2 linked regions of the Schizosaccharomyces pombe genome follow. Each later gene encodes a partner of the first gene's protein in a complex. Each region holds a gene or a part of one and is shown on either strand. Other genes may lie near its edges. The genes, in order: lsm2 and lsm5.

What was found.
Region 2: lsm2 (region 1) and lsm5 share a complex: the UniProt entries of both Schizosaccharomyces pombe proteins name them as parts of the heptameric LSM2-LSM8 complex.

The regions. Positions count from the first base shown.
Region 1 is NC_003421.2:2,143,169-2,146,717, reverse strand, and holds lsm2 (U6 snRNP-associated core protein), read left to right. Parts: upstream 1-1,732; 5' UTR 1,733-1,793; coding exon 1,794-1,853; intron 1,854-1,906; coding exon 1,907-2,008; intron 2,009-2,360; coding exon 2,361-2,463; intron 2,464-2,521; coding exon 2,522-2,547; 3' UTR 2,548-2,769; downstream 2,770-3,549. Other genes in the region: wtf meiotic drive antidote Wtf23, read right to left, coding at 1-226, 276-605, 822-957; putative signal recognition particle subunit Sec65, read left to right, coding at 3,387-3,549. UniProt on the Schizosaccharomyces pombe protein: Component of LSm protein complexes, which are involved in RNA processing and may function in a chaperone-like manner. Component of the cytoplasmic LSM1-LSM7 complex which is involved in mRNA degradation by activating the decapping step.
Region 2 is NC_003423.3:3,299,179-3,302,645, forward strand, and holds lsm5 (U6 snRNP-associated protein Lsm5), read left to right. Parts: upstream 1-2,116; 5' UTR 2,117-2,125; coding exon 2,126-2,150; intron 2,151-2,251; coding exon 2,252-2,375; intron 2,376-2,421; coding exon 2,422-2,488; intron 2,489-2,536; coding exon 2,537-2,563; 3' UTR 2,564-2,957; downstream 2,958-3,467. Other genes in the region: RNA polymerase II nuclear import protein Rtp1, read right to left, coding at 1-1,648. UniProt on the Schizosaccharomyces pombe protein: Component of LSm protein complexes, which are involved in RNA processing and may function in a chaperone-like manner. Component of the cytoplasmic LSM1-LSM7 complex which is involved in mRNA degradation by activating the decapping step.

The sequences.
Region 1 (3,549 bases):
AGAGCCTTATTTAAGTTCAGATCGCCAGATTTGACGCAACCAAAGAGTATACAACAAATGATTAACCAGAGTAACCAAATTATAATCATCATTTCTCTTCTTATGTTGAAAAGGCCAATAGAGATCACCTTTACACATTGTGCCAAGAAAACTACAGTCACCTTTATACATTGTGCCAAGAAAATTACAGTTACTTTGACTGCCTTGATCCAAGTTTCATAGAAGTCTAATGAGTTAGTGACTGAAGGTAAGAATTGACCTATCGTGTCACTTACACCATAAAGAAATAAAAATCATTAGGCAAATAGCACACCACACTCCAAAATATACCCATTCATCTTTGCCATAATCTTTAAAGAGAGCGTCCTTATACGTTAGATAACAAACTGCGGGTACGTTTAGCACAAAGATTGAAATGAATGATAAAAATGCTTTTTTCAACGGAGAGGTAGAAGAATTATCTGCCGTCCCGGAAGAATGGTTTTCTCTATGTGTAATAGAAAGACTGTCTTCACCATAATCCGGAGGAGTCGTAGACTCGTCCGTATTAAATAAGTTAGGGTTGTTAGCTCCCATTTGTTTGGGATCCTTTAAATTTATATTTTCTATATTGTTAGCAAAATTCAATGGTAACTTTAGAATATTTTTTAATGGGAAAGGAAAAAAGAGCGTGCCCTGTTAGACGAATTTATACTCGTAATATGTCAAGTTGTAAACAAACAAACACAACAAAAACATTGTAAATCAAAACAAACAGACACAGCAAATAATCCTTGACACACTCAATTCTTTATCTTATCTACCAACAACACAACACTTACCTGAATATGGAGGCAATGTGCTCCCATCTTCTGAATTGTATTCTGGGAGAGGACCTTTTTCCAAATCAATTTCATTATCGTTTTTTGCACTCAATTCATCCATAGACGACCTCAAGGGGTAATATTTATTCTTCATTTTCTAACGACAGTCTATTATTTAATGATATACACACAAATAGTTCAATTGTTGTGATTGCGACAAACGAAACAGCAAAATCAAGAATATTCACTCTGTAGTCCAATTCCAATCGCTTTAAAGACTTTTTAACAAAATAATAAAATTGTTCAAACAAATTTCCAACTAATTCCTTCAAACAATGGCATAAAAAAAGAAGAACGAAAAAACTGAACGAGGCAGTGAATTGCTTCTGACACATTTATTTTGTCACTGCCCTTTTTATTCACCCCAACTTAGATTTCCTTAAAACGTTTTTGAGAAGCAAAACGTTGTAGTATAATATAATGTCAGCTACGCAATTTGGTATCTGCTTTAACGATTACATAGAACTGCGGTAATTTTTCCTTTGTGACCTATGATATTACAATACACAGGTACTATAAGTAGCAACTGAGTTTAGGTATTGTACTATCAAGTTGTATTGTTATCTATTGCAAATACAACTTATAATTGTGTAAGGAATGAGGTTTAGCAGTAACTCTATTTACGTTGTTTAGATGATTTGGATTTTAATAGATTATTGTTAAAATTAATATCAACATCGTATCATCTGCGGTGCGATATGTAAATGGAACATGTGAACATATAGTGACACTCAACGTACTGTATCATAACTAATCTCGGTGACAGCCTTAATATGATTTTTTGATTTCGTAAATCCTCGCAAAAAAATGTACGAGCTCCAACACAATACCGTGTAAATGGGCTTTGCCTGTACATGACACATTCTTCTGTTCGCTGCATCTTTCTTACTTCATCCAAAAGCGTGTAAAACGAGTCTTCTCCCGATTATAATGTTGTTTTACTCATTTTTTAAGACATTAATAGACACGGAAGTTACCGTGGAATTGAAGGTATGCCCCTACTTGGCTTTTTTGATCGCGTTATGAGGTTAACCAAACTATAGAATGATATGAGTATCCGAGGAATTTTGAAATCTGTTGACCAGTTTTTAAACGTTAAGCTTGAAAATATTTCTGTGGTCGATGCGTCGAAATATCCTCATATGGTATGCTTTGCAAGTTATCGGGAATTGAAAGAGAAATAAATGATTTCTACGATCGGTAGGGTTCGGTTTATTCATTTTATTTAGGTTTTTGATTGATTTTTGAAAAAAGTCTTGTCCAAATCGATTATGTACAACATCTTACATGAGAGGAACATGAATCAATCAGCTTTCCCAACGTATATGCTACATTCTCAACTTTTAAAATCTAGGTTTTTCATTAATTGAACAATTTAAGACTGATCATAAAGTGCGCCTCACTTTCTGAATTCTTCGATCTATCCTTTTTTTTTCGTTCCTACTCTTAACACTATCTCGTGCTATTATTCCAGAGTTATAACTAATAATTTATTAGGCTGCTGTTAAAGATTTGTTTATTCGTGGTAGCGTTGTTCGTTACGTCCATATGTCAAGTGCATATGTTGATACTATTTTATTAGCTGATGCTTGTCGTAGAGGTAAGCCATGATTTGTTAAACACTGAAATTTTAGCCTTATTAACTCACTGGTTTTTAGACTTGGCTAATAATAAGCGTCAATAATTCCTTTGAAAATTTCCTTTTTTTGGTCAATATATTCGGAAACCGTGAACTAATTGCTTATTTAATCGTAGTTCGGTTATTCATCATGTGTCCCATTGCGATTTTTTTCATGCCCGCAAAAGGAATATACATGTGTATATACATCATTTTATTAAGGACCATTGTTGTTTGAAGGTATTTTCCTCCCCTTTCATTCATCCATATTCTTACTACCTTTTCGCTTTTCTTTTAAATCCAGCTTCCCTATTATGCCTGAAACCGATCCCTTAAAATTACCGTTTTATTATCTTCAAAAAAAAAAATTAAGTAGAAAATTGTTGGCGTTTACATGATTTTTGTGTACGGCTTCTTCCATTAATATAGTTGATGAGACTTTGTCAATTATCATAAAATACATACATCGTTACATATCGGTTTATTGCTGCGAGAGGGAATTTTTAGCACTCATGCATCATTAGCAACAGAGCGTTTGTATTACTTTAAAAGATATCCACTCAGATTTGTGTTTTACAAGTCTAATTCTTCTTCCAATTTATTTTACTGATTTCATTTGTAGGATTCAACCGATCTCACCTTTAAGCCAATCAGGCACACTCTCTTTCATCGTTTTTTTAATATATTTTGTATTCTTTTAAGATCTTCCCAGTGAATGATACGATTTTACTTTTTTAGTGTTCTTAGTTTTATTCTAAGTTAATCATGAAAAACGTCTTCTTTTTAAAAATAATTGAAATGTTCAGTAGTAAGTTGAAAGTAAAATCGTATTTATCTACTACATACGGTTGAGCAGCATAAGTATGATATCGCATTTGCTGCCAACTACCTCACTCACCATCCACATGCCATCTATCATATTATATCCCATTTACTTTGACAAGAGCCGTCCACGTAGGTTTCGTTGTGTACCAAAAGACAAAGCAATTTTAAATCCGTTAGCTAAAAATATTGCCGATGTTGTTCGCGATTTGGGATATAAATGTAAATTGGAACCATTGAAGACAC
Region 2 (3,467 bases), on another chromosome or scaffold:
TTAGCTTCCTTAACATATAAACTCCTTGTCCTCTCACTGGCACCAAGTCACTTTGAGTATATGACAGTGCTAACGAATAGTCATCTTTAGATTGTATAAGAGTTTTGTAAACGTCCTTTGCAAGGTCAGAAATTTCTCGGTTACTATAATTAGAGAGCTGTTCTAGTGCAGGAAGTAATGAAGAAATAGGGTTTTCCAAATCTAGTTCAGCGTTTCTCCCGATAACTGAAGATATAATGTTAAGCAAAACAAGAAGAATCTCTTCGTTCTCTTCTTCAACTTCTCGGTTAGTAGTAATCTGGGATATTTCTGTAGAGGAATACTTATTTTGACTAGCCACTTCATTGATCAGATTAGTGCAGACAGACAGCATTACATTACTAGGAATTTCATCTGAATCAACATTAGACAGGGCATATTGAACAAGTTCGAGTAATTCCAAACGCTTGTCTGGTGGCTGCTGGACCCATATTTCTAACAAGTTAGGCAGGAACATTGCTAATTGTGATTTTGTCAGTCTCTCGCAAAATATACGAAGATGTTTTGCATTTGTTAAATTCCTTAACAGCGATTTGGTACCACAGACTGATATAATACGAAGCAAGATATCCTGAACTTTAGAACGTAAAGTTGTGTTCTCCTGTAAGTGCAAAAGACTTGGTACACAAGATTCACATATGCGAATTATATCATCGTTTTGAATGTAGACTAATACTTGAAGAACGTCCAATGCATTTTCAAATGGGGATAAATCGATGACTTTCGGTGCTTCGAGTATTTGGAGCTTTTTAAGAAGAAAAGAGGTAACAATATCACAATGTGTATTTGTTACAGCAATTATGAGTTGTGACGCTAATCGAGGTTGAGTGCTGAAAAGGCTCCAAACCTGAGGAAGAATACACGAAAAATATTTCTGTGGTGAGATATCCTTTGGAACAGATGAAATCAGATGAGCGGCCTGTCGTGCGCGTTCGATTGAATTTGGCTGTGCTTGCATATAAACTTTGAGAAATCCTTGCACGCCAGTTTCTCTACAAAGACAGGTAGTTAAATAATGTTTCAATTTATCTTGCAACCAGTTATCTACATTCGGTTGTAATAGCGATAAACAAGAAGAAATCATTTTAGATGGATCAACCATTTGTGGAGACATTATGCTCGTTACTTTTTCTTTCCATGAAGGGTCTAAAAATAAAGGCCTGGGTTCTTCAATGAGAGAACCTTGTTCATGGCAGTTCAACAAATATAAATGAAGCAACAATAAGTCGGCATAGTGAAGGTTAAGTGGACCTTGTAATAAACTTGGAGTTAACAATAAAGGAAGTAAAATATTGTAAATTTGGACCAGATTTTTTTTGGGGGTATAAATAGGTAATGCCTTAATTTTCGCTTGCGATAGCATTTCTTTGGGGAGTTGAGTATAAACACCAAGCAAAAATGTAAGATGAACAAAAAGCTGCAAACATCGTAGAGAGGTAACACTTAAGGGTTGGTCTGTATCCAACTTTGAGATTTCCTCTAGAAGATTGAGGAAGTAATTCAATAAATCACCACTTATATTATCCTTCAATTTTTCAATTACAGGACGAGAATCATTCTTTTGATTTAAAAGCTTCGCAAAATCTAATAACTTCTGATTTGCATCCATGCGGAATATTGCTTGTAAAGTTCACTTGCTAAGTAGTGAACGTTATAAGTAAGTGAAGGCAAAAAACCAACTCTTATACTTTCCGTACTAAGAAATAGCAATAGCAAATATTTAGAATATGAGAACCAGGTACGGAAACCTTAATTATTTAACGAACTTTGTGGCTAAAATATGTGGATAACTAATTCCTGATCGTAGCAATAAATACTTGGGGTAAGTTATAACTAGACAGCTTTAGCTTGGATTCATTCAAAGAAATGGATCGCTATTCGACAACTGTGTAATTTTGACAAACGACAAGACCAAAAAATAAGACCGAATAAGATGTCCACAGTTTTAATGAAACGATAACCTCTTATTTATAAAATCTTCAAGATTCCAATAAATGATATTCCCTTAACACTATGTGTTCAGGTAAAATGATAGCATGGTTCTTGTATAGTAGCAATTTATGTGAACTTGCAATCCACCTCCACCATGTCGATGACAATTTTACCTTTAGGTATGTAGATTTATTAGTACATTCTAAATTAGTTTCATAATAAGAAAAGGGAAAAATTATTGATTTATGCCCTGGGTAAATCTGTTCATGCTAACAAGCAGAATTAATTGATAAATGCATTGGATCAAACTTATGGGTGATCATGAAAAGTGAACGCGAATTTGCGGGGACACTTGTTGGATTCGATGATTATGTGAATATTGTTCTAAAAGATGTTACAGAATAGTATGAAATATAATAACTTTAATTATCTTTGCTAATTTCTATGAAGTGATACTGTTACCGGCGTTACCGAAAAACACTCTGAAATGCTTTTGAACGGAAATGGGATGTGCATGGTATGTCAATGAAAATAATAAAGGAATTTTTGTACACTAACTATCTAGTTGATTCCTGGTGGAAAACCCGAATAAGTTGGTACTTGGCTATTTAACAGTCTTTTGAAGATGAAGGAAGAGTGATTTTTGTTATTATCAAACAAATGGAGATATATTGCACGCCAAATCTAGCTCATACTGTGTGCACTCCATATATGGTAAAATATCTAGACCCAAGTCTCACTTTTTACATTAATTGAACAACAAGCGTTGGTAAAGCCATGTCTTCGGATACGGTTAAATTTGATCGAGTTATTTAAAGAATTTGATTGCAAAAATAAGGTATTTTATAGGACTGGTTGCATGTTTCTGAAATGAGTGATTATTCAAAAATAAAGGCTTAATACTTCCATCCTCCATAATTTTTCCTATTAGTGATTGTATCTCAAATTATACTACCAAAATGAATTGTTATTTCAGATGATGTAAACTGTGTTAAAGTTAATTGTTTGAATGTAATCTGACTGTAGAAATTGGCATAAACGGGATATGCATAGCCTACGATGATAGCAATTTTTCTTCTAATTTGAAAGACAACATACTAAACATTGATTTGAGTAGCCTTTACAGGATCTTACTATTCAAGTTATCTCTTCCAGCCCATCTGGTTGAATCATACTGACTTTTTTTTGTTCATGTTGGCCAAAATGGGGATTTATTATGATTATACACTGGAAAAAGTATGAATATTTGTTGTTTATCATTAATATAAACTAAAGTGACTAACCTTGTTATTGTAAACTCAAAATTTTGAGAATTAGTATCTTCAGCAGTTTTATGAAGGAAACGAAAAAGTAAAATTAAAATGAAAACGAAGTTTAATACTTTGGATTTATATATCTCATCATTTATACATTTGGATTATTAAGAAATTTTTGAATCCTCTCTTCCCTTATCCCTAAATAGTTAGAGAAAAACGACAAAACTCAGCTAAAACCAT